Macaca fascicularis: one gene and its partners. The main gene of each other region encodes a partner of the protein of the gene in region 3 in a complex. Links are inferred from orthologs where the notes say so. Each region holds a gene or a part of one and is shown on either strand. Other genes may lie near its edges. The genes, in order: SURF1, TMEM126B, COA1, TMEM186, ACAD9, TIMM21 and SMIM20.

Region 1 (4,098 bases), on a different chromosome or scaffold from region 3:
CTACAGAGCAGAGAAACCAAGTTTGTAGGGATAGTTCACAGCAAGGATTCAGACTGGTGGCTGTGTCTTGGACTCATCCCTGGACGGTCTACCGGGGACGGTGTACCATGCGGCTTGGGCATAGGGCTTTTAAAGGCTCCCGGAGCAATTCCACTCTGAAGCTGGGCAGGGAACCGCTGACCCAGGCCAACTGCAGCCTCTTAATGTTTACCGGAAAAGTAGGCATGGCAGCCTCGCTGACTGCTCCAAGATGAGTTCACGCAAGAGGACGACTCCACCTGGCCAAGTGCTCAATGAATGGAAAGATCCCATCTCTGTTTTGACGATTATTACCAACCCTAGTTCCCAGGTAAATCAAAGATCCCTTCTGGGGTCAACAGGAGAACCCAACGCTGTTCACAACCTCAGGTGACAAAGCACAAGCCTCTACTCCTCTGTGAAGCAGCCACACCCCACAAGACAAACCTCAGGTTTACCGAAAAGCAAACGAGCTCACCGAGAGGCCTCGCCAGGATCGCAGGTGACTCCAGCACCCGGGCGACCACCTGGATCCCAGGGCTCCCAACTCTGAAAGAGTGGGAGCTGCAGCACTGGCGGAGTCCTCAGGAGGAGGGAACTTTGGGGTTTACCACCCAGGACCTGTCCTCAGCCGAGCCCTCCCGGGAACCTCCCTTAGAGGGGGTTCAGGCACCGGGGGGGCACCAGCGGAGGGGCTGTCCTAATTGCCCTGGGCCTCCCCACGCCGCCGCGGACCACCTACGGGTTCTTGGTGCTGGGCACGATGTGCGGCTCGAACTCTGCAAAGTCGAAGGCCGGGGAGGCGCGGACCAGCCGCTGGTACTTTTTGCCGCGGGTGTACACCTGGAGCTCCGGCAGGCGGCAGGGCAGCTCATGACCAGTCAAGATGCACCTCACCTGCTGACGCACGGGCAGGCGGTCAGGAGGGCCGGGGCTCCTGTCACTCCCGCTCCCCGGTGCCCCCTCCTGCGGCGCCCCCTTCCTTCCCCTCCCCTGACCTCGCCGCGTCCTTTCTCCCGCCCTCCCCTCAGCCCCTCATCCCAACTGCGCCCTTCTCCACCACTCCATTCCCCTCCCGCGCCGCGAACCTTGCGGGCGTCCGGCTGGAGCCGCAGGCTCGGGTGCTCGCGCAGGAAGGCCTCCACGTCGGCCGGCAACTCGCTCATGGCCGAGGCGCCCGCAGACCACCCCGGCGGAAGCAGCTCCCAGAACTTGGGGCCGGGAGCGGGGCTCTGGGCGGGACTCGGCGGCGACCCGGAAGCAGATGCCTCCTGCGTCCCGGAAGAGCCCGCGGGGCCGGGTGCGATGGCGGCGGTGGCTGCGCTGCAGCTGGGGCTGCGGGCGGCGGGGCTGGGACGGGTGAGCGCGGGGCGCCGGGGACGAGAGGGCGGTACGGGGCGAGGGGAGGGGTCCCGGAGCTCAGCCCGCCCGTCCGTGTCCGCAGGCCCCTGCCAGCGCCGCCTGGAGGAGCGTCCTCGGGATGTCCCCGCGCCCAGGTGAGGGCCGCAGGCCAGGCGGTGATCTAGGCGCATGGGCAGAGCCACCTGCTGTCTGCCCTGCGCTTTGAAGGAGTGTCGTGGGGATTGAAATGAGCCAACTGCCGGCTGAGCGGAGGTTCCCTGGGAGTGACAAGTTCCATATTAAAATGCTTTCAGTGGAACTGTGGTCGTGTGCCGGGCATGTAGCGAGCGCTTTGTCCTCACAACAACGCGAGGGGTAGCTCCTTGGTCGTTCCTATGTTACAGAGAAGGCTCGAGAATTACTTTCTAACGTCACATCCAGCTAATGGGTGGCCAGCCCAGGCTGAAAGCCCAGGGCTCTGAAAGTAAAGCGCATCTAAACACTGCGGCTTACGTGTTCCTCTCAGTGTGCAGCACAGGTTATTTTGCCATGTGTAGAGTGCTGTGCAAGCCTGCCGCAGACCTGCGTTTTTTTTTTTTTTTTTTTGAGACGGAGTCTCGCGCTGTTGCCCAGGCTAGAGTGCAGTGGAGCTATCCCGGCTCACTGCAAGCTCCGCCTCCCAGGTTCACGCCATTCTCCTGCCTCAGCCTCCCGAGTCGCTGGGACTACAGGCGCCCGTCACCACACCCAGCTAATTTTGTGTGTGTGTATTTTTAGTAGAGACGGGGTTTCACCGTGTTAGTCAGGATGGTCTCGATCTCCTGACCTCGTGCTCCGCCCGCCTCGGCCTCCCAAAGTGCTGGGATTACAGGTGTGAGCCACCGCGCCCGTCCTTTTTTTTTTTTTTTTTTAATAAATAGTATCGGCAAGGTCGCTGGTGCTTTTCAGCGGATGGGACTCACCCTCTGAGAGCTTAAAGGCACCTTCTGTGTACATTCTTCCATCTTCACATTTACGATGAGTTGTAAAAATGGAAAGCTGTTAAGAGAGCTCTGTGAGCCATTACTCTGAGCTGACATGTTTCTCTACATAACACAATAACCACTAGTGCCTGGTTAAGCTACTTAGTAACTGTAGCTGCTTATTTTTTGTTTTTTATTTTTTGAGACAGGTTCGCTCTAATTGCCCAGGCTGGAGTGCAGTGGAACAATCTGCTCACGGCAACCACCTCCTCCCAGATTCAAGCGATTTTCCTGCTTCAGCCTCCCGAGTAGTTGGGATTACAGGCATGTGCCACCATGCCAGGCTGATTTTTGTATTTTTAGTAGAGACAGGGTTTTCCCATATTGGTCAGGCTGGTCTCAAACTCCCGACCTTGTGATCTGCCCGCCTTGGCCTCCCAAAGTGCTGGGATTATGGGCGTGAGCCACCACGCCCGGCCAACTGTAGCTATTTATTAAATGCATTTTGAATGGATGAATGGTGCATCTTAGCGCAGTGGAATACATCTATATTCTTGAGTAAAAAGGCATGAGTTACCCAGGGTCGTGGTTGGTGGCCAAGCCAGCACTGAGCCCTAGATCTCACTCAGTTGGCAAACATACTCAGTGTGTGCCATGTCCTGGGCACTGGGTTAGGAGCTGGGCTGTGTACAGGTGCTGCTAGTTGGCTCTAGGAAGCAGGTTTTGATTGGTAGTACTGGAGTCTATCTTGGAACTGGCTGCTCCAGGTTATCTGTTCAAGGGCTCCTGGCCCCATGTCAGTGTTGTGAAACTTTCTCCAGGGGTGGCCTGGAGGCCAAGCAGATGTGGCAGTTCTGCAGCAGAAGCATCTGCCACAAAAGCGGAAGATGACTCCTTTCTTCAGTGGGTCCTGCTCCTCATCCCTGTGACTGCCTTTGGCTTGGGGACATGGCAGGTAAAGACTGGCATCTGGTGTGCATAACTCTGGGCCCTTGACCCTGCTGCCATCTGCTTGGGCTTATGCTCTGTCACTGCAGGTCCAACGTCGGAAGTGGAAGCTGAACCTGATTGCAGAGTTGGAGTCTCGAGTTCTGGCTGAGCCTGTCCCTCTGCCAGCAGAGTGAGTATGTGGCTGCCCCCCAGGGCCAGTCTCACTTGAGTTCAACAGCAGAGCCCTGGCTTCTGCTGGCCAGCCTGCCCCTTTTGGCGGGACTTTTAGTCACTGCCTTGACCTCAGGTGGAGCTCTCATCAGTCATCCTGTTGGGCTTGCTCTTGACACGTGACTGCCCTTGTGAAGCTACCTGAGGCCACCTCCTGACATATGGAGGAAAGTCTTACTTTGCATCCTGGGTGTCACCCTTTTTTCAGGTGTAGTGAACTTATCCTCCACAGGGCCCAAGGCTCTGTGGCTGAGGACAGATAATGTAGGTCTCACTGTGAGGGTGGTCTTTTGAAAAAGTGCCCTAAATGATTTGTCTGCTCTCTCCCTAGAATATGCCCTACAGAGACAGGTATATTCAACCACATTTGCCATTCAGAGTAGCAAACAGTATGCCAGATTTGGCTTGCAGGTGGGATTTTGGCCCACATATTTTTTTAAAATTTCACATATTCATTGAGGAGTCCAGATTTTTAGCTTCTCTTGTAAAGCTGGACTCTGGCAGTGCAGATCCCCATTCCCACATGGCATGAGGGCCACTTCCCCTTTAGAGCGCATGCCCTTTGCCTTTCTCCTTTACTTGTCTGGCCCTGGTGGGCTGTGTAGTCTGCCACCCT
Region 2 (2,163 bases), on a different chromosome or scaffold from region 3:
AGGCTCTATCAATTACTAGTTGTGAAACTCAAGGTAAGGTGAAGGGCAGGAAATAACATTAAAAGCCCATAATATGACAGATATTGTGGTAGTCATTTAACCTACAGTATCTTTTAATTCTCACAAAATCCTGTGAGGTGAGTACTATTAGCCCTAATTCATAGATAAGACAAGGGAGGCTCAGAGATGAAATTACTTGCTGAATGTCACAAAACTTAAGTGGCAGGAGGTAGGATACTGAAATGATGTTTGTTATATGCCACAGTCAATTCTTTTCCCAGTATGTTGTTTATTAGTGTACTTGAACATGCCTCAGTTTGGGTTGCTTGCTTATCTACAAAAAGAAAAAAATACGATTTACCTAATTAGGAGGATTGTTGCAGGGATTAAATACGACAAGGTATATGAAGGGACTTTACAAACTGTATAGCACTATATAAATGTAAAGAATTATTATTAGCAGTAGCAACAGCATATGTTAATCAGTAACTTTACTTAGACAAAACTACATTATACATTAGTGAATTTAAATTCACCTGAATACAAAGGATCAATTACAAGAAGCTTGTAAGTAACTACAGTAGACAAAAATGGAAGTGTAGCCAATGATGCATATGTTTTCAAAGCATCGTGTTTAACCTTGAAGCAGCGTCTGAACAGGAAGTTTGAGAATATTCCAGAGAAACCAGCTGTTGTTCCAAATGACGTCATTTGATATATATTTGGTGTCCTAATAGAAAAAAAGAAAAATTCAGTTCACTGTAACATTGAACTTAATGGATACAGCCTTTCCTAAAAAGTTGTTATTGCATATTTACTCAATATGAAATACTTCTTGAGCACTTACTATGTGAAAAGTATTTTCTAAGTGCTTAAGATAGGGCAGTAAACAAGGCAAAAGAAAAAAAGAAAAGGAAAGAAATTTCCCACCCCTCATAGAACTTGTATTCCAATGAGAGGACATGATTCTCTTTCTGATAATATTTACAGTAGTTCTAAAATAGAGCTCTTTTAAATAATTTTGGTCACAAATAAATATAAATATGCTCCAATGTAGCCAAATTTTATGAGTTACCCAAATCGAAGAATACCTTTCCTGCAACTAAAAGATTTACTTTGCTTAAGTTCAGCTAAAAAAAAGCTATTTACATTTGGTTAGGCCTTCTATTTCTGCATTAGTCCCAGATACATTTAAAATAATTTGTCCAAGATTTAGAAAATTTCATCCAAAAAAATCTGATCTAGTTTTCTTATTAAGACCCATACCTAAATCCAGGAAATAAGATCAACTGTCCTTTGGTTTTATTCTTGAACTCCATTCATTTAAAAGTCAAAATGGCCAGTCTGGCCAACATGGTGAAACCATCTCTACTAAAAATACAAAAATTAGCTGGGTGTGGTGGTACACGCCTGTAATCTCAGCTACTTGGGAGGCTGAGGCAGGAGAATCACTTGAATCTGGGAGATGGAGATTACAGTGAGCCGAGATTGTGCCACTGCACTCCAGCCTGGGTGACAGAGTGAGACTCTTATCTCAAAAAAAAAAAAAAGTCAATATGTTAATGTGAGACTATATTTATACTATGAAATCTGTATTCCCTTTTGCTGTACTAAGTACTGTGGCTGAGATAATCAATCCTTAACTGATTATAATTACTCACCAATTAAATATAAGTACCCCCCCAATGATTTTCTCTTACTTTTAATTAAAATATATTTACTGCACAAATGTTTTAGCAATACTTTTGGATACTTTTTAAGAAACAAAAGAAATTATCCACAATCCCAAATATTCCAACAAACCACTATTTTCATCTGTTCTTGTTTCCCTCATTCTTTTTTTTAAGGATGTGTTCTTCATAACCAACTCAAAGAATAGGATAACAAAGAATAGGATCTCAGAAACAATGGCAATACAAAAGACTTGCAAATAAAATGATTTTCAGCCTGGGTATTTCTCTTACATTTCTTTTCTAAGATAGTCAAAATTTTTTTCTATGATTTCTATGATCATTGGTCTTCTGAGTTTTGCATCTTCTAGAGAAGGACTGGGTTGACCATGCATAGATGCTGTCATCTTGACATCCTGGAAAAAAAAATTCCAGAGCCATAATAGCTAATGATATTCATATTACATAAAACCTTACAGAATTCTACAGATTC
Region 3 (3,034 bases):
TTTTCAGTAGAGACGAGATTTCACCATGTTGGCCAGGCCTCCTGACCTCAGGTGATCCACCTGCCTCGGCCTCCCAAAGTGCTGGGATTATAGGCATGAGCCACCACGCCCAGCCAGATGCTGTTACCTTCAAACTAACTTTCCTAAGTTAACTTTATGTGTATATGTACACACACAAATTTTCTAAGCTTTCAAAATGTTTGGAATAAAAATTATTTTGCAAATCTTCAACTGGGCAGATGGCTGGTATCTGAAATAGAAATAAATGCAAACAAAATATTCCAAAGTGATGGAGAATGTCCACAAGCTACTTAACAACATGAATTCAAGGTACAGTGAAAAACCAAACTGGTCTTCCTCATCATTCTCATGTCAATAATTTAGAAAAAATCCCTTCAGTACTACTGAGCTTCAGGCTTTGTAATGAAGACTGAAAATTCCAGGGGAAAGGAAGAGGAAGAGAAAGGAAAGAAATGAGAACCAGCAAAGATCAACAAACATTTCATTAATTCTGATTCCTTTTATCATTTGCTTTTTTATACAAAGCACTTTCAAATCAATTATCTTAAATTTGTAATAGGGGTTTCTTTCGGATTCAGTTTAAAAATGACAAATAGCATTCGTTGTGCCCAAGTTGGAATTATACCAAAATTACCATGTGCTGGCACATACAATCATCCCGCTGGTGGCTGGAAAACTGGGTTGCAGGAGTGTCTGCCACTCAGATGGGCCACCACCCCAGTGGGCATATGGTAGAGATGAGGGAAGGATGGACTAGAAGCACGCTGGGTCTGCTGGGTCTTCTGGGTCGTCTCTACTCCTTTTTCACTTCGTCACCGTTTTCCCCACTGAGCTTGAACACAGGAATCTGCTGACCATCCTTGAGCTCTAAAAAGACCTCGTCAAGGTGCCACCTGAGAGAAACCAGAAGTACAGTATCTCTAATCTATGAACACTGAGGCAACGGCCATAGTCAAAAAAAGGGGTGCAGAAAGCAGTTGTTTTGAATAATGCCTTAAATTTTTGTAAACATTTTGTGTGAGTGCTGTGTCAACACAATTCGTAACATTCTACCATGGGCTCTCATTATTTAACCAGCTTCGACTTCGAGGCAGGCTTAACAATGACAGGCGAATGGAAGGGACACCAGGAAGGAGAAGGAGCAGTTTATTTCTCATTTCCTAATTCACACTGACCTTCAGTTCCTGGCATGGAATCCAGTCAGCTCGTGCACTAATCCCAGGCTCAGAGGTCAGTGAGCCCAGGGTGAGCTAGGTGGGCCCGCCTGCTCCTTTTGTCCTTGGGAATTAAAACACAGCCTGGCTAAACAGCAAGCATCTATGAGAGAGGCTTCCCGTGGGGGAAGTGAGTGGATGTAGCTACTGGCAACCAGACAAGCAAAGCCAATTAAGGGGTGGAGAGCTTATGCAAAGAATGTGATGAATAAATTCTGGAACAAGAATCCATGCCCTTTATTCATTTGTAACAATCGAGGCAGTGAAGTGAGAAGCTGTAACATAGCATCAAATTATGACAGACCTAGATCACTATAACTGGAAAGTTTTATGAATTCAACGGCATAAGGAGAGGGCAATTCAGTAGACTGTATGGATAAACTGGACTCAACTAAGAGCCGCAGTACTGGCTTGCTGCCCAGGCCACGAAGCTTTCAGCTTCAAGCTTGAAAAACAGTTCTTCCTATGCCCACAGCAATTTACCAACAAATGAAAACAGAGTCGGGGTTGCTTCCATCAGGAAGTCCTCCTCCCACCCCCCGGACTGCCGTCACCTTCCCAGAATACCTCTGAAAGGGGCCACCTCTGGAGGAGTGGACGTAGAGAAGGCCCTCTGACTTGGATCCAGAGACAGGAATCTTCAACTGTGGTGTAAAATGACAGAAAGGAGAGATGTAATTGGATACATTATTGTCATTTCAGAAGATGATGACAAAATGATGCTTTCTAGAGCTAAGCCTATAAAATCCAGTGATTCTCCACAGAAGTGAGTTGTTTTCTAACAGCCCAGCTGGAGAATCCACTTGATTTTCCAAATGTCCTGCCCCTCTTTGGTTGGCTGGTAAGGTCAATGGCAGTCTCTGCATTTGGCAAGGAGGCCTCCTATGATCCTACTTCCAATGATCGCTCAAAAGTCCACTGTTAAAAAGGAGCAAACTCCTGACACACGCAGCAACATGGATGAGTATCAAAAACACGCCAAGTCAAAGGGCTTTACACAGGAGGAGTATATAACTATTTATTTTAATTCTACAACAGGCTAAACTATGCTGGAAACCTGTTATTTTGATGGATTACAAAGTAATTTTCAAACATCAAAAAAAAAAAAAAGAAAAGTGACTGCCTCTGGTAGAGCTGGAAGATGTGAGAAGGAACCCACTGGGTAGGAAACGAGGGAATTCAGGTGCTGGGAGCAATCTACATCTAGATAACGGCTTGAGTGACACGACTGGGTGTATTTGTTAAAACTCATCAGAGATAGGACACTTGGATTTGTGCCTTTCACAGACTGTAAATTTTACCTCAAAAAAAAAAAAAAACCAAAAAACTAGGCACCATAACAAATATTAAACTCCACTTAATGATGTACGTGCTTACATGTATAATGTTTGAAAATTACTTTGTAATCCATCAAAATAACACTATAGACTCATGGAAACAGAGCAAAATGCTAACTGTAGAATCCAGGTACCAGCTATAGGTGCTCACAGTATAAATTATTTTATCTTTTTTGTACATTTGAAATTTTTCATAATAAAATACCAAAAGAAAATTCACTGTTTTAAAGAGGAACCTATTGCCAGCAAATTGGTACATATTTTGACCTGGACCCTAAAGAACAGGCTTTAAGGAAAATATAATACATGAAGGCTTGTCTGGGAAAGACGACACGGAGTCCTGGGTTTCTCCTTCATCCCCAGCACCACAGGCTGGGTTCGCACCACAGGGTGCTGCCAGGTGCTGCCATGCCCGTGCCCAGGCAGTCGGCCTGACAGCCCCTAAGCACTTGTTTGATTACA
Region 4 (4,241 bases), on a different chromosome or scaffold from region 3:
CCTCCCGAGTAGCTGGGACTACAGGTGCCTGCCACTACACTCGGCTAATTTTTTTGTGTATTTTTTAGTGGAGACGGGGTTTCACCATTAGCCAGGATGGTCTCGATCTCCTGACCTTGTGATCCACCCGCCTCAGCCTCCCAAAGTGCTGGGATTACAGGTGTGAGCCACCGCGCCCGGCAATAAAACATTCTTATTGACTTTCGAGTGGCAAAATAATAAAGATCATCATGCCTTCCTTCCTCTTTACTGTGTTACCAATTGCATAACGAACATGTATTATTAATTATGCAAGGCAATGCATATAACTGGCTTTAGTTTATAAAAGAACATACCAGCATACAGTCCATTAGGCTTTATTACACTGCAGGGCCATCCAAAGCAAGAGCCTCTAGATCTCAGGGTGGTGAACAAATCTCAAATGGGGTTTCGTGCTCACTTGGATGACATCGCTGCTCATCGATGTGTAGTTAACATCCTGGCAGACCTTTCTGCTGCTGGATGTGTGAGGGGCACAGCACAGGGCTCTGGAAGTCCCTGCTGACTGCTCGAAGCCTTTCTCCATGCCAAAACCTCTGACCAAATGCTTAATGCTATCTGCTCTAGGCTGCTGAGTCTGCCACACGTTTGACATTTATTCCCACATCCATCCCATGAAACAAGCAGGGCTTTCCATTTTACAGATGTGAAAACCACGGTTCAAAGAGACTCAATAACCCACCCCAGGACAAGTGACAGAACTGAGACTTCTGACTCCAAATCCTATGCTCCCCCACCACACCTCTTTGCCTTTCAATTTCACACCAATGGACTGTCTGGGTGACCCTGGCATAGGTTCTTCTAAGAACTGGCTCTTAACAAAAACTTCTGGCCATTATCTGACTGAATGTCACAAACGAGTGCTGTAAGAACTTGCTTAGAGCCTTTTTCCTAAATCTGGACACCAGCTCTTGCCTTGTGAATTTCTTCATCACAAAACACACGTTCCCAGGGGCCCAGGCAAAGTCTCCAAGTACCCAATCCCCTTTCTTCAGCTGTGCCCACACCCTCAGCCTTCCTATCAATCCAGGTGACCCAGGGTTACCCAGAGGCCCAGGCCCCAGTTGTTTACTTGAACATCTGATGTCTCCCAAACACCTGCGTGAAACGCTCTCTGTCCAGGATGTGTCCATAGCGCAGGGTGACGTAGAAGGTCTGTTTCCCGCTGTACCGCTGGATACGCATGAACATCTCCTGAGGCTGGTCCTTGGTTTCTGTCAGGGGAATCACATCTGCCAGGGGACAGTATGTGTCCTGCCGCCAGCCCCAGAAGCTCAGATGGGCCACCCGCAGCATGGTGCCAGACTCATTCAGATACAGGATACCAACCAGTCTCCGAAAGAAATAGCTCATCCAGCAAAGCATGGTCAGGGCAAAGCCCGATATCCCACTCATCAGGCACACGGTGTTGAGAGTCAGGAGGCCCTGGGAATACCAGTAACAGGCTGGTGGCAAAACTACCACTGTCAGGGCAGTCTGTGCCAACTTCAGTCGAGACAGGAACCCAAAGATTCTGATGGCATCAAAACGGTAAAACATCCAGAATTTCTCAGTCTCTTGGTTTGGTGGTTTCTCCTTCGAGGTGGGTGACCTGCTCCCCACCCACCTCTTAGGATCCTCCTGCCCACTGCAGCACCACAGCCCATGGAGAGGCCTTTCCCACGCAGCTTTTCCCCGAAATCTAGGCACAACTCGGAGAAGGGCAGCCTGAAAGGGAGACAGTAGACGATTTCTCTCATGGAATTCAACCACATTAATCACACGGTGAACATCTGCAAAGCACCATACTCGAAGGCTTCTGCCAATCCTGCAAGGTCACCATTATTGCCAGAGGAAGGAAGGGTAAAGCCAGATGTTATCTCATGTGGGCATCACAACAGCTATCTAAGATAGTTATCACTATTTCCACTTTACCACTAGGGAAACTAAGCCCAGAGAGGGTAAGATATTTACCAAAGAACACACAGTCAGTGAGTGCAGCAGAGTCCTCCTTCCATCAGGCAATTCCAAAGAAATACAAGAAAGGAGGTGCGGCCATCAATAATTCAAAACATATCTAGGGAGTCCCAACTCTGGGCTGGACAATGGATCCACAAGGGGGTGTGAACATTTCCCCAAGCAGGAAACTGAATAATCAATGTCTTAGTGGGGAACTCAAGCAACAAATCTGTGAGACAGCTATCCCAACAAACTTTCTAATTCTGTTTACGTTATCTTGGGTGCTGGAGGGAACTGCTGCTTTCCCTTAACCTAGTCAGGGGAAGGGGAAACAACGAGGAGGAGGAGGAGCGGGGCAGGGAGGCCCCTACACGTAGCACAAACATATTATTAGGTGGGTAGTGAAGCAGTAAAAGCTCTGGTTCCAATTCTGGCTCCATCAGTCACTACCTGTGGATTCTTGAGCAAATCACTCCACACCCCTGAGCTTCGGTTTCTTCGGCTTTCAAAATGGGGACTCAGAACACAGTGAACGAGAAGATGGTTTCAAAGCCCTCAACTTAGTACCTGATGCGCTGTGAGAGCTCGGCGAGTTTTAGCTATTACTACTGTGAGCACGTGACGCAAGGAGGGCAGAGAAAGCCCGGGAATGGCGAATGGTAACCCACGCCAGAGCTTCCTCCCACGGATTCTTCAGGTCCGAAACTCAGGCGTCGTGCCTGCCTGCCCCAGCTCTGACCCCGACCGACCCCCAAAGAGCATCACCCCCTCAAGGATCGCCACCAGCCTCCTTACCATGGCTCCACAGCCTGCTGCCGGAAGTAAATCCCACCGGCCCCCGGAACCTCTAAGAGCGCATGCTCGAATGTACAAGGCGGGCGTGATCCGCGTTGCACCCTGGGATTTGCGGTCCAGGAATCGTGGCTGGCGCTAGTCCCAGGCGTTGTGGGAACGGAGTCTCCTCCTCTTCCCGACGTGCCCTGCGGCTCGGGGGCCGAACTCGGAAGTTCCGGGCCGAGTTCCTGATGTCAACGAGTCTTGCGAGGTGCGGTTAGACGCTGGGGACATGGCAGCGCCTGGCCCAGCGCTCTGCCTCTTCGACGTGGATGGGACCCTCACCGCCCCACGGCAGGTAAGTGGCGCCCGGCGGGCTGGTGGCAGCCGACTCAGAGTCCGTGCTGTTCCCAGTTGGAGCTATCGACTACCCAGGGTCGGCGCTAAGGGCTGGCTAAGGACCGCCTGCGTCCTCACGGGGGCTGGACCCTATTCTAGGTGCCCTGGAGGGATGAGAGGGAGGCCCTAACCAGCTCTTCAAGAGCTCTGATGCTTGGAAAGATGAGACGGGGCTGAAGAACTCTTAAGAGAAGGAAACTTATGCTTGGTTGGAAAATGCAATCTAGACTCACCGCTAGTCCTCGGGACCGATGGACCAGGATTTGAACCCGACATCAGCTGTGTGCCCCTTATCAGCTGTTTTCCGGCCTCAATCCTGTAACCAATGGGCTGTGCCGTGAGTCATTATATTAAAAACAGGTTTCCAGGTGAAATCGACCTAGTGGAGTCTCATCTTCACCTCTTCACAGCTGTGTGACCTTGAGCAAATCATTAACCTTTCTGAGCCTCAGCATCTACAGCTTTAAATGGGGATATTACGTGTTCCATATGGTGACTGTGAGGATCAAATGAGATTGTGTAAGTTCTTGAAAGTATGTTGCACACAGCACACTAGGCCTCAGTAAATAGTAACCACCTCCACCACACCCATCTCCAGCCCCTGCAGTGGACTAGGAAGATGGAGGAGCCCTAGGTTATTACAGGCTGCCCGCTGAGAGCCTCTTTGGGCCTTTGGAAACTTGCTTTCCACTTCCAGATTTTGCTGCTACAGGCACAGATAAGTTTCAGTCACTATCAGCCTTGAGATGAGGCTTTCCTGTCCCCTTTTCAGAAATTGGCCACTGACAACCGGCCATTTCAACTTGAGACTGGACCCCAATGGTCTCACTATCCTCAACTAATATCCTCACCCCTCGTAGTCTTCGCTTGGTGGTAACTATGGTGTGCTCCAGAAAGCCACGTCAAATGCGTGTGACCTTAGACGTATCATTTTGCCCTTCTCAGCCACAGTTTTGATCTACCTAGTGATGACACTCAACTCCCAAGTTCTTCAAAGGCTTTTTCTGATTCTGAAATTCAGCTATCACACACTTGGGGTTGTTAAAAGCCCATAGTGGTCTAATACTCCGGTCCCCAATTCATTTTTTGTA
Region 5 (4,154 bases), on a different chromosome or scaffold from region 3:
CCTCAAAGTAGAGAAAACCAGATCTTCTGTGGAATTAGACGTGAACTAGGAGAATAAGAGTACAAGGTGACGCCAGGTGTTCTGTCTGAACAGGTGGAACAACAGAGCCACCATTATCTATGATAAAAGAAGGCTGGTGGAAGGACCAGGATTGGGTGGGAACCAGGAACTCAGTTTTGGATCTATTAATCTCAAACGCCTGTGAAACCTCTTAGCAGAGCTTTTGAGTACAAAGGTAGATTTAAAAAAGGACCTTGGCTGGGTGTGGCAGGGCGTGCCTAGTCCCAGCTACTGGGGATGCTGAGGTGGGAGGATCTCTTGAGCCTAGGAGTTCAAGGTTGCAGTGAGCTATGATGGTACCACTGCACTCCAGCCCGGGTGACAGAGGAAGGCCCCAACTCTGAAAAAGCAAAAGGAATCTGGAGCTCAGGGAGAAATCTGAACTGGAAAAAGAAATTTGAGGCATCAGGATATTGATGATATTTAAAGCCAGGACACTAAATAAGGTCACCCAGGAGATGGTTGTAGATGAAAAGACATCCACAGACCCAGCCTTAGTAAATTCCAACTTGGCTAGTTGGAAACACTGGTCATTGTTTAGCAGTAAAGGAGCTAAAAAAGAACTAGCAATTGACACAGAGAAGTATCAGTCAGTGAAGTATTTAGAACATTCAGAGAACGATGAGAATAGTGATTCAGAAACTAGAGAAGAAAGTGTGTCAACAGGGTAGAAGAACGAACAGCGTCAGATGCCAATGATGGGCCAAGTAGGATGAGGTCTGAGAACAGATCACACGATTTGACAACAGAGAGGTCACTACTGACTTCCATGGCCATTAGGGACAAACGTCTGAATGGTAAGGTCTCAAGATCCAGTAGAGAGAACAGTTAATGATTCCGAGAAAGGAAAGAATTACCCTTGAGTAGGTGAGAAGGCCTGGGGTCTAATGAGAGGTTGGTTTTGCCAGAAGCAGACAGTTCAGTCATAGTAACAGAATGTAGATAATATGGGCACATGCAGGGGGAGGGGGTAACTATGCCTGTGAAGTTCTCATCTGACTGCATGGATTTTCTCAGTGGAACGGGAAGCAAAGCTGACAGCTGAGAGTAAGGGCAGGGCAGGTGGTGCCAAAGGTTTATGATGGAAACAGATCTGAAGGATTTGTGTTCTTTCTTCACCATGCTGCTGGAAAGCAGGAGGTCCCAGGATAGAGCACCACACTGCCCCAGGTCCTGGGTAAAAGGGTTTCCCATATGTCAAAGACATAGCTCTGCACCTTCTAGCCGGGCAAACTGCTTTTAGTCTGAGTCTTAGCTTCTGCATCAATAAGGTTGCTTGCTATAAAGGGATCAGCCTGACAACCTCAGAGGAATGTTCCAAAGAGAAGCCAGGGAATAACTTCCGTGATAGAGGATCAGCCAACATTCAGCCAAGCTCAAAGCAGGGCACCTCGAGGAAATAGCAAGTATACTGTTGCTTTCCTTAGAAGATAAAATAAAACACAAAGGAAAAAGCAAGAAATGTGTTTATTCCTATTTTGTAGATGAAGGCACTGAGGCACAGGGAGGTGAAACCATCAGCTCCAAGGTCACAAGACTAGTAAGTGTTGAAGCCAGTTCTCTCTTCTTCTGCACAGTACTCTACAGTTTAAGACGACTCTCCATGCACCATTTATCTCACTGGGGCTCTACAACACCTCTGTGAAGGAGACACAACACTATCTCCATTTTAAGGCTGAAAGAACTGAGTCTCGGCCGGGAGTGGTGGCTCACGCCTGTAATCCTAGTACTTTGGAAAGCCGAGGCGGGTGGACCACCTGAGATCAGGAGTTCGAGACCAGCTTTGCCAACACGGTGAAACTCCATCTCTGCTAAAAATACAAAAAAAAAAAAAAAACCGGGCATGGTGGCGGGCGCCTGTAATCCCAGCTACTCCGGAGGCTGAGGCAGGAGAATCGCTTGAACCCAGGAGGCGGAGGTTGTAGTGAGTACTCCAGCCTGGGCGACAAGAGCAAGACTCTGTCTCAAAAAAAAGAACTGAGTTTCAAAGTCAACGAGCCAAGACCAAACCCGTCTTCCAACTCTAAGAGGACAATGAGTGTTTTATAACCAAACTGTTACTACTGGCAGGGTTGTGCGACGCCCGGGAAGCATCTTGGAGCCAGATTTCTGAGGAACCTCAATGGCTGGGAGAGGCGCTACGGCTCAACTGGGGAAGGAAGCCCCAGGGCGCTGGAAGGTGACTGAGGAGGGACACGGTCTAAACTGTTTAGGAATAAGAGAGGAAGCCCCGCACATTTCCAGACCAGACCAGCTGAGATGAAGGCTGCTTTGTAAATTACCTAGCCTAGAGTTTTCCAAATTCTGACAAAATTTACACTTCCAAGGGTCCCCCGTCTAGGAAATGTCCCACCCTTTCTCTGGGAAGGTTTTCCTGGAACTCAGGAATCCAGAGTGTTAACACGCCTCGCCTGCAGGGTGTGTCTCTCTGGCAGGTTTGGGGAATCCGACAAAGCTGAACACCAATCTTGCAGCTGAGGATGAAAAGCGGGAGCCAGACAGCAAGGATTCGCCCAGGGCTCGCGTTACCTTCTTGATTTTGCCCAGGAAAAGCTCTTTGGCGAAAGCTCGTATAGGCGGGCTGGTGCGCAGTAGCCGCCGGTTCGCGGTAGAGACCACCAGACCCCGGCAGGCACGAGCCGCAGCCGTGGTACGCAAGAAGAGCCTGCACCAGCTCATGCCGCCCGCTGTTCCCCGGCCTCAGGCTCCACTTCTTACTTGGCGCAGCAGGGACACACACATGGTCCGCAACGTCGGATGACGTTACTGGCCCGCGACGCTGTGCAGTACTCACTGCGCTTGCGCGGTCTACCGCAACAGGGGATGGAGAGGCCAGAAGGGCTTGACGGCTGCCACCTTCCGCGGCCAAGGCCGTAGTCATGTGCACCTGGCTGGTCCGCGCTGACTGATGACGTCACGTGCCCGCGCTGACTGATGACGTCACGTGTCCACGCTTCCCTCCGGTCCCACTGTGCTTGCGCGGCCAGAGTTGCTGGGCGGAGAAAATTGGAGGGTCGGGGCCGCGGGCATGTTGGCGGGTATGAGCTCCGGCCGTCGTGACGGCTGTGAGGGACCTGTTTTTCACATACCAGCAGTTGTTTCCATAAATGCTAGCCATGGGAAATCTCCCTGTGTACAGAAACCTAAAGGCCGGCCCAGCTGCTTCCCCTTGCCTCTTTTGTCACTTGCGGCCGCGAGGCTGTGGTAAAACTTGAGGAAAGCAAAAGAATGGGGGAAATGCGCGGTATTGGGGTCTCTGCAGGGGCACGGTAAGGATAAGGTTCCATTTTTAACTGGATGGTGAATTCCTGAGATACTGTTTTGTACCTAGTTGACAAATAATTTTCTGGAAGAGGAAAAGAAAATGGGTGTTCAGTCACAGAGCGGTCTGGATAAAACTGAGTCACGGCCGGGCGCGGTGGCTCACGCCTGTAATCCCGGCACTTTGGGAGGCCGAGGCGGGCGGATCACAGGGTCAGGAGATCGAGACCACGGTGAAACCCCGTCTCTATTAAAAATACAAAAAAATAGCCGGGCGCGGTGGCGGGCTCCTGTAGTCCCAGTTACTCGGGAGACTGAGGCAGGAGAATGGCGTGAACCCGGGAGGCGGAGCTTGCAGTGAGCCGAGATCGCGCCACTGCACTCCAGCCTTGGGGACAGAGCGAGACTCCGTCTCAAAAAAAAAAAAAACAAAACTGAGTCACCTCTGTCTTGGGAAACACTGAAAAGGCAGGTGGAGGAAGAGAAACTACAGAGGGAGCTGAGAAGAGATGGGAACTATTGGATGGGATGGGACAGGCCAGGCTGTAGCCGCCCACTTGCCCGCTGACTAGATAGCTGATTTATCAAGACAGGGGAATGGCAATAAGAAAGAGTAATTCACGCAGAGCCAGCTGTGCTGGAGAGGGAGTTTTAATAGCCAAATCAGTCTCCCCGAAAACACGAATCGGAATTTTTAAGGATAATTTGGCGAGTAGGAACTCGAAGTGGAGGGTGCTGATTGGTCGGGTTGGCGATGGAATGATAGGGGGTCGAAGTGAGTTTTTCTTGCTGTCTTCTATTCCTGGGTGGGATTGCAGAACTCGTTGAGCCAG
Region 6 (4,145 bases), on a different chromosome or scaffold from region 3:
AACCTCAGATGACTCCTGAGGCTGAAGGCAGTTGCTCTAATGCAAAGCTCTGAACATTGCCCCGGTTTCTGGACCTGAACCAGTTTTCAGACCTGGAACCCATTTACTGAAGGAAAGTGTATGTGACTGACTACCCCGGTCCTTCACCAAAAGGACCTATAGTTATCAACTTGGACATAGTCTGTGCTGACAGTGATATCCAAGGACCCAAAGAGTCATGATGACCCCCCGACCACCCCCCACCCCCCCGACAGCATGTAAGAAGCTCACAGCTGGGTCCAGGGACTTATCTGGTAATAATTTCCTTGATTTCCAAATGTATAAATCAAGGGGATGTACTGAGTAATTGGCAACAATAACTCCCACTTTAGTTCCTTTGGAAGTGGGTTAAGAGCTATCAGAGTGGGAAAAGTCAAATGGAAGCCTCTGAAACTGCCCCAGTGACCAAGGTAATAAATTAAAAATGGTATCACATCCATGGGGAATGGCAGAAAGAGTGCAATTCTTAGAGACCTTAGATACAGGCATGGTGGCCCCTATCACAGTCCCTTGTAATTTACCAGTCTTCCTTTACAAAACACAAATAGGCGCTGGAGAATGACAGTGGTTAACTGCAAACTTAACCAAGTGGCAGCCGGGGTACACATGCAATACCACACATGGTAACTTTACACGGCAGTGCATTAACACAATCTCATGGTATTGGCCATTGATTTGAAGAATGCCTTCTATTCAGAAGCAGCAGCAGGAGTAGTGTGTAGTAACATGAAACAGATAATAACAGTGTATGTTTATGATCCTGACCAGGATTTGCTAATTCTCTCACCCTCTGTTGTTACAGTCTTAAGGGAGTGAAACTTTCTGGATCTGGGCTGTCTAATACAGTAGCCACTCACCACTCATGGGTATTTCAGTTCAATTTTAAATTAATTAAAATTCAGTTCTTCAGTAACATAATTTAGCAACATTTCAAGTGCTCAAAATAGCTACAAGTGGCCAGGAACTACCCAAATGGACACCATAAATATAGGACATTTCTATGACTGCAGAAAGTTTTATTTGAATAATGCTGTTCTGGACATTCAGCAGAATATCACATTTGTCTACTATGTTTACACTATCGTGTTAGAGCCCAGAAGTAACAAGTGGCAAGTGTGTTAGAAGGCTTGGTCAGACAAGCTGCAAGTGTGAGAGGTGGGCCCAACAAAGATGCAGAGGCTCACCAACACATGAGCTGACCTCATGGGGCTACACTGGGGTGTGCCAGGACATGCCCTCCCAAGTAAAAGACAATTGTACCCTATACCTACTACCACAATGTTTCTTTGAATTCTGGACACAGCATATTCCATATTTGGGAATGTTGCTCCCATCCATTCATTCAGCAACAAGGACTGTCACCTCTGAATGGGGTGCAGATCAGGGAAGGGGTCCCTAAGCAGGCCTGGCATGCAGTGCAAGCAGCAGCACTGTTGCCTGAGCCAGATTACCTGACACACATGCTGTTTGCCACTTCTATGCCTTTCACCTCTGCATACGGATTGTTCCTTCGTGCTGAACTATTACAAATGAAAAACTAGGTTTTTGGCATATTCAGCAGATTACAAAACAATTGGTAGAATATGATTCAATTTTTTGGGTTAAAAATTATTAAAAGGTATGTGTATGAAAGTGCAAAATGTTAAAAATAGTCATCTTTGTGTGGTATAATCATGGGGTCTAAATTGCTTTGTCCTTTTTTTCCTACAAATCACATGCGAAATGAAGAAATTAAAAAAAAATCTTAAAATATCTGTGAACATATCTCTGACTTTCCCTGACAAATTACATTCCATCCTCCCTAGTTTATGTTTTTCTATTATTGCAGGTAACATACGAAAGTTTTCCCTATTGATTATGAGTCAATAAGCTCTCTCTCTCTTTTTATCCTATCCAATTACTCTTTATTATATGTAACAGAGCCAATACAACTTGAGAAAAATTTCCCAAACATAACGAAAGAAAGTTATATCAAATTCAAGATCAACTTTCAAATCTGAGTTCCAATCTGTGAAGAAAACTGTAGGTCTATATGTTCTAGCTCTAAATTATGTTTAAACGGCTTTTAAAAATTCATGTTAATTGCTTTTTCACCTTTAGTAGTGAACTTGGTGTAAAAGAGCATTGGCAGCTCTTGTCACGTCTGTTGAAAGACCAATCATTGAAGTACTCCTTTTTACCTTTTTGTGATGTTGGGACGGCGGTTCCCTCTCTTTGACTCCTGTGTACAGACACTTGTTTGCTGCTACCCTCCTTTGCTTTCCGGGGGCTCGGTCCCTGCGTCCAGATGGTTTTCTGAGTGACTCCAAGAATACATCTAGGTCGCACTGTTTTCTTTTGATATTGAAGCCCCCATCTCAAACTGGGCTCAGTCTTCAAGCACGCTTTGTTAAGCACAATGTGGGGCAAAAGCAATCGCTTTGCCGAGGACCTGTGCAGCTTCTCCGTATACTGTATGGCTCGTAGAAAAGTACAAATCATGTTCACAGAAAATCGTTCCGCTTAGGGACGATGCTAACTACAATTAGGAAAGTTTTCGGGTTCACTACACATCTGGCCGGACACGTACTCAAACCTATACGTTTACATTACATGGCGTGTTAGGCAAAAACGTTGGCTTCAGCAGCGTAAATGAAAACGAAAAATCTCCAGGGAGAACCTGCTGTCTACCTTCCCTTCTGTTTTCTTTGAATCAACACGCTCTGATTACCTTCTGGGCTGACATTCACAGTGTCCCCGCCATGTCTTCGCAAAGTCACCTGGGAAACCCCCCGTCTTCCTGGGAATAGTAGTTTGAAGACCTCGCTCTTAACTGGGATGCGGCAATGGGGCGCGCACAAGAGACTACATCTCCCACAATTCAAGGCGGCCAGAGCACGGCGCAGGCCGTTCCCGCGCCCCCAGGCGCTTCCGTGCCCAGCGCCTGCGCAGACGCTGCGCGTCCTTGGAGAGGCGGGAAGGCGGGGAGTTGGTGGGGTAATTGGTACCACAGACCCTACGTAATTCAAGCGGGACTTGCAAAAGCCAAATTAGCAGTTACACACTACGTGTTTTCCTTATCCTTCTAGAGTGGACTGTGCACAGTGGGAAGTACTCCCTCTGACTGTGGTCTTCTCTATTCCGCGTGGGCAAATGATTTCGTTTTTGCATTTCACTGTGTTTTCAGAAAAGCCGGACAAAAAAGAGTCAGCAAGTGGAGATGAACGAGGCCGCTGCAAAGCAGGCACCGGTTTCCTAAATGGTTAAGCCGAGGACTTGCTTAGCGCCCTTGGTGGCAGAATGTAGGGGTGGGGAAAGAAGCTGGGGCCCGGAAGTTTCTAGAAGCCCGCTTTGCGAGCGGCTGTCTGGCGCGGTGCCGTCTGCGCACGCGCCAGGCCAGCGGTACTTTTGTGAACTTGCGCATGGGCGTAAGGGGGTGTGGCGACGCGCGGGCGTGGGGGCGGTGCGTGCCCTCCTAGTTTCCGCCCTTGAGCGGGTCTATGGTGAACTCGTCTCCATGGCGACTGGACGCGGTCGGATCTTGCAGCAGCACTGGCTCGGCCTCCAGACGCTGCGCGGGCCCAGCAGGGGAGGTGGCGCGGCCCGGGGGCGCGCCAGGACCTTTGGGTTCAGGTGACTGTAGGGCCTGCGGGTGGGGTCCGCTGGCGGGAAGCCCCTCACTGCGCGGCCCCACTCTCTCCACCGTGTATTTTATTCGTCCAGCTTGGCACAACGCCCGCGGCCCTCTTCAACGTGAGAAGGGTCTGGAAGAACGACCGGAGGAAATCCTTTCTACCCTGCAATGTGGGGTTCCCTAAGTTATAACACAAGTAGAGTAGCCTCTCGGGGAAATATTTTTTCTCGCGGCGCCTGTGGTCGGGGTTACGCTCACTTGCCACGACAGCTGCCGGTCCAAGAGGTGCTTCTCCGGGGTGCGTGCCATAGATTCACGTGTGCCCCGCCCCTGCCTTCGTATTTTTGCTCTTCTGTGACCAAGAATCTCCCTTCGTCTTTTTCATGACCTTACAACTTAGGGAAGTAGAGTCTGCTCATCAAAACCTTATAAATTTACACCCTCATCCCCCAAGCAGATACCTCTGGCAGGCAGGTTGGTCTGGCGGGTAGGG
Region 7 (4,080 bases), on a different chromosome or scaffold from region 3:
TTATCTTTTTATGGATATGTTCTATCTCTTCATCTATGCGACAGGATCCTGGAGAGCAGGGGTCACATCTTATTCATCTTCGTGTCGCCTTAGCACTCTGCCTGGTGTTCGGGGCATGGCAGATAGTCCATGAATCTGGGGAGAGATTGGATAACTGATTTACATGCTTCTGGAGCCACAGAGGTAGACGGTAGCTTGATGCAACTACAAGATTACAAAGACAGAGGAAACCTGTCCTCTCCAAGCTATTTTGAAACGCTTGTAGATCTGTTGTGGCGTAAATAATGCTACTAGGGTCAAGATAGATATCCTCTTTGCTCCCCAGGCCCAGCTGCTGGCATGATTCCGGCTTATAAAGGCGTGGAGGCCCAAGGAATCTGGGTCTCAGCTGCGCAGTCTCCCTGTGCAAGTCACAGTCAGGCACAGCCCACCGGTAAGGGCAGTGAGGTGCAGAGGGCAGAGGATGGCAACTTGAGGAAGAGGAAACAGGTATCTGTCCTCAGTGGCCCCCACCCAGACAATACGGCAGTGCTCCGTGGCCCCATGGATGGAACCGGACGATGGCTCTCTGCCTTGGCCAAGGCATCCCAGCACAGGCAACAGGGAGAGAGGATGGGATGGAAAAAGAGAGTAGCTCGGATGCTGAAACGACGTTCCTCCTAGGCTAGTCTTGGTGCAGAAGCCCCGGGGCTCCGGTTTTAGAATCCCCCAGCAGGCCCTCTTGGGCCAGAGATTTGTCCCTTTGTCCCTCATACGTACAAACCTCCCTCAAGAAGGACGAGTGAGTGGTCCAAAGCCGCGCAGCGGAGCCGCGGTTCCCTCTCCTGTAAACTAAGCCGACTGATACAAGGATTAATTGCGCGAGCGACAGAGAGCATCCGGCGCACGGCGGACAGTCGCTAAATAAGAAATTAATGGGGGATGGACGAGAAAGCTGGCTGGTTAAGAAGGGGATGGTAAAGGAGGTCTGGAGGGTGCTGGGTGGAGGTGCTGAAGGAGGAACCGGGCCGAAGGAAGGAAAGCAGACAGAACAGGGCCCGCGGGAATCGAGCGCAGCAAAACAACTCCAACCTCAAACCAACGCCAGCACCGGGCCAACACAGCACGGAAGCCCGGGGAAGGTGGAGGGCGGGGTCCGAGGCTCCGCCTGTGACCCCACCCCTTTCATGCCCCCGCCCCTTCCAGTCATGAGGCCCCGCCTCTGACTCCACCCCTGTCTCGCTCCCCGCTTCGCCCCTCCTCCTCGTCCCTCCCCCAAGGCCCGGAAGCGAAAGCCTCTCAGCCTCTTCCGAGCGGGGTCACGGGCCGGCCGTCGGTAGCCAGGTTTCCGAGAGTGCGGGGCGGTCGGCGGGTCAGGGCAGCCCGGGGCGCAACGCCATGTCCCGGAACCTGCGCACCGCGCTCATTTTCGGCGGCTTCGTCTCCCTGATCGGCGCCGCCTTCTATCCCATCTACTTCCGACCCCTAATGAGATTGGAAGACTACAGTGAGTGATCTCTGACCCCGTGCGGTGACCTGACCCCCCCATACACACCTCCCCCTCCGTGAGCTCCACGTGGTGCCGTGGAAAGAACTTGGCTCGAGGGTTAGGGAGAGCCAGGTTCGAATCCTGCCATGTGCAGCTTTGTGACCGTGGACAAGTTGCTCAACCTCTGGGACCCTCAGTATCCTCATCTGTGAATATTAATAACTACATCATCTATAGTAAAGTGCCGAGCCTCCTGTGAGACTCAGGTGGTCATGTATATGAAAGCAGTCCTCTCAGAAGTCAACGCTAAGTACTAGTTCATATTTACAGTTAAAATTCACTGCATGCCTATTATACGTCAGGTTAGGCATATGTTGGATCGTTTCATTTGCACAAGCTCACCTTGAAGTATGTATGTAAAACATACCCATTTTACAAATAAGGGAACTGAGGCTCAGAGGTTTTATAACGTTCCCAAGGTCACACAGCAAGTGACAAGGCAAATATATCCTACCCCAGGCCGCTGTCCGGAGTCTTCTTGGAGCATTTAGGCTGGAAATGGTGACTGGGGGAGCCAGATGGAACCCTGATCCTCCTGAGCAGAAAGGTGCTTTTACTGCACTTCATTTCCACTCCCAAAGATGTTTTTTGAGCGGGACTGTTTCAAACCCAAATGTTAACCTGGGGCTTTTACTTTTTTCTCTTCTTTTTCCTCAAATTGTTTCTCCGATTCTGCTGGTTTCCTTCGTTTTAAGCCGGTTGCTCACATGTTAATGGTGAATATCCTGGGAGTAATTTTCCTTCTTAATCATTCCAGTCCTATCATTCTAAAAGCCAAACTCTTCTTCCTTGAGACCTATATCTCAGCAAGGATTAGCACTTTCATACATCTGAAACCATCTGTCAGAGAGAAAATATTAGGCATTAGAGGCTCATTTTTGTTCACCAGGAAACTCGAATCGTCTTGAAGATGGAAGAGGGCCAACCCTGCCCTTTGGGAATATTAACGGACACTGAAAGCTTGGCGAATTGAAGGCGAAAGCTCCGTGTAAACGTTCTGCCCATTGCAAATGTTACAGCAGTCGGTTTCTGGAGGCAGAGCGTTTTAAGTGCCCACTCAGATTTCCTTGTAGCTTCTTCTCATTAGCCAAGACTGAAATGGCCACTGTGTTCTGCCTTCCAGCTTATCTGCATGCACCATGTGTGGGAGTAAGGTGGGCTGTGTGATGCCCTGCGGGATCTGTTGCCACCATCCTTCTTCACCGGACGCCTGCCCCAGCGATTATATTAAGGCCACTAGAACTTGGGACAAAGGGTCTGCTTTGCATCCCATTGGAAAAGTCAGTTCTGAAAACTAGAGCTGTTGGTTCTTATCTAGGAGTGATTTTGTCCCTCAGGCTATTTGGCTCAATCTGGAGACATTTTTGCCTGTCACAGCTTGGGATGGGGGTGTCAAGTGTTGCTACTGGTTTCTTGTGGATAGACGCCAGGGATACTGCTAAACTTTTTGCAGTGCATACAAGACAGACCCCCATGACAAAGAATTACCCAGCTTAAAATTCGAGTGGTGCCTTGGTTGAGAAACCCTGCTTGAGGTGAGATGGTCAAGATGTGGGCGTGTACTGTGTATCCTAGTAACAGTCCTTTAGGGATACTCCAGAATCTGTGGTTGTCTGAATGTCTTGAGACAGACAAATCAGGTGATGTTCATCGGTGGGTGAACATTTAGTGAATGTAACTATAATATCTGCATGTTTAACTGGAAGGCAGTCTGTGCCTTCCCGCTTTTCTGGTCCTTTTTTTTTTTTTTTTCTTTTTTTCCGCTGTCACCCAGGGTGGAGTGCAGTGGCCTCATTTCAGCGCACTGCGGTCTCCTCCTCCCACGTTCAAGCAGTTCTCCTGCTTCAGCCTCCTGAGTAGCTGAAATTACAGGCGCCCACCACCATGCCCAACTAATTTTTGTATTTTTTAGTAGAGATGGGGTTTGGCCATGTTGGCCAGGCTGGTCTTGAACTCCTGACCTCAGGTGATCCACCTGCCTTGGCCTCCCTAAGTGTTGGGATTATAGGTGTGAGCCACCATTCCCAGCCTCTGGTTCCATTTTGATTAATTTGGCCAACTCTGTTCTGGGGATCATAACTGATTCTTTTTTCTGAGACAGAGTCTTGCTCTGTCACCCAGGCTGGAGTGCAGTGGCATGATCTTGGCTCGCTGCAACCTCTGCCTCCCGGGTTCAAGCAATTCTTGTGCCTCAGCCTCCCAAGTAGCTGGGAATCAGGTGTGCACCACCAGTCCTGGCTGATTTTTGTATTTTTAGTAGAGACAGGGTTCTGCTATGTTTGCCACATTGGTCTTAAGTGCTTCACCTCAAGCGATCTTTCTGCCTCAGCCTCCCAAAGTGGTAGTGTTACAAACTGACTGCTGTAACATTTGTAATGGGCAGAGTGTTTACACAGGGTTTTTGCCTTCAGTGCTGGCAACTGATTCTTTTAAACAGGTAAATATTGCTGAACAGGTAATATTTGTGGGAAGTTTACTGTATGTTTGGCACTCTTGTAAGCACTTCCTATGTATTAACCCATTTAGTGTTGGTAACAGCCCTTTGTGGCAGC

Evidence for each region.
Region 1: COA1 (region 3) and SURF1 share a complex: the UniProt entries of both Homo sapiens proteins name them as parts of the MITRAC (mitochondrial translation regulation assembly intermediate of cytochrome c oxidase complex) complex. The link is inferred for Macaca fascicularis from reciprocal best matches to the Homo sapiens genes COA1 and SURF1.
Region 2: COA1 (region 3) and TMEM126B share a complex: the UniProt entries of both Homo sapiens proteins name them as parts of the mitochondrial complex. The link is inferred for Macaca fascicularis from reciprocal best matches to the Homo sapiens genes COA1 and TMEM126B.
Region 4: COA1 (region 3) and TMEM186 share a complex: the UniProt entries of both Homo sapiens proteins name them as parts of the mitochondrial complex. The link is inferred for Macaca fascicularis from reciprocal best matches to the Homo sapiens genes COA1 and TMEM186.
Region 5: COA1 (region 3) and ACAD9 share a complex: the UniProt entries of both Homo sapiens proteins name them as parts of the mitochondrial complex. The link is inferred for Macaca fascicularis from reciprocal best matches to the Homo sapiens genes COA1 and ACAD9.
Region 6: COA1 (region 3) and TIMM21 share a complex: the UniProt entries of both Homo sapiens proteins name them as parts of the MITRAC (mitochondrial translation regulation assembly intermediate of cytochrome c oxidase complex) complex. The link is inferred for Macaca fascicularis from reciprocal best matches to the Homo sapiens genes COA1 and TIMM21.
Region 7: COA1 (region 3) and SMIM20 share a complex: the UniProt entries of both Homo sapiens proteins name them as parts of the MITRAC (mitochondrial translation regulation assembly intermediate of cytochrome c oxidase complex) complex. The link is inferred for Macaca fascicularis from reciprocal best matches to the Homo sapiens genes COA1 and SMIM20.

Annotation. Positions count from the first base shown.
Region 1 is NC_088389.1:6,019,001-6,023,098, forward strand, and holds the start of SURF1 (surfeit locus protein 1), read left to right. Parts: upstream 1-1,298; 5' UTR 1,299-1,323; coding exon 1,324-1,377; intron 1,378-1,462; coding exon 1,463-1,514; intron 1,515-3,142; coding exon 3,143-3,276; intron 3,277-3,358; coding exon 3,359-3,441; intron 3,442-4,098. Other genes in the region: SURF2 (surfeit locus protein 2), read right to left, coding at 212-278, 497-567, 761-915, 1,107-1,184. UniProt on the Homo sapiens protein: Component of the MITRAC (mitochondrial translation regulation assembly intermediate of cytochrome c oxidase complex) complex, that regulates cytochrome c oxidase assembly.
Region 2 is NC_088388.1:84,674,325-84,676,487, reverse strand, and holds part of TMEM126B (complex I assembly factor TMEM126B, mitochondrial), read right to left. Parts: intron 2,087-2,163; coding exon 1,965-2,086; intron 731-1,964; coding exon 537-730; intron 335-536; coding exon of another isoform or gene 293-334; exon of another isoform or gene 148-292; intron 1-147. UniProt on the Homo sapiens protein: As part of the MCIA complex, involved in the assembly of the mitochondrial complex I. Participates in constructing the membrane arm of complex I.
Region 3 is NC_088377.1:86,615,668-86,618,701, reverse strand, and holds the end of COA1 (cytochrome c oxidase assembly factor 1 homolog), read right to left. Parts: intron 1,880-3,034; coding exon 1,803-1,879; intron 915-1,802; coding exon 815-914; 3' UTR 501-814; downstream 1-500. UniProt on the Homo sapiens protein: Component of the MITRAC (mitochondrial translation regulation assembly intermediate of cytochrome c oxidase complex) complex, that regulates cytochrome c oxidase assembly.
Region 4 is NC_088394.1:9,562,800-9,567,040, forward strand, and holds TMEM186 (transmembrane protein 186), read right to left. Parts: upstream 2,801-4,241; 5' UTR 2,776-2,800; coding exon 2,773-2,775; exon of another isoform or gene 2,428-2,772; intron 1,747-2,427; coding exon 1,108-1,746; 3' UTR 341-1,107; downstream 1-340. Other genes in the region: PMM2 (phosphomannomutase 2), read left to right, coding at 3,044-3,109. UniProt on the Homo sapiens protein: As part of the MCIA complex, required for efficient assembly of the mitochondrial complex I.
Region 5 is NC_088376.1:154,551,988-154,556,141, forward strand, and holds the start of ACAD9 (complex I assembly factor ACAD9, mitochondrial), read right to left. Parts: upstream 2,801-4,154; 5' UTR 2,740-2,800; coding exon 2,590-2,739; intron 1-2,589. UniProt on the Homo sapiens protein: As part of the MCIA complex, primarily participates in the assembly of the mitochondrial complex I and therefore plays a role in oxidative phosphorylation.
Region 6 is NC_088392.1:6,591,316-6,595,460, forward strand, and holds the start of TIMM21 (mitochondrial import inner membrane translocase subunit Tim21), read right to left. Parts: upstream 2,801-4,145; 5' UTR 2,521-2,800; coding exon 2,220-2,520; intron 1-2,219. Other genes in the region: FBXO15 (F-box only protein 15), read left to right, coding at 3,536-3,651. UniProt on the Homo sapiens protein: Participates in the translocation of transit peptide-containing proteins across the mitochondrial inner membrane.
Region 7 is NC_088379.1:25,047,341-25,051,420, forward strand, and holds the start of SMIM20 (small integral membrane protein 20), read left to right. Parts: upstream 1-1,280; 5' UTR 1,281-1,377; coding exon 1,378-1,486; intron 1,487-4,080.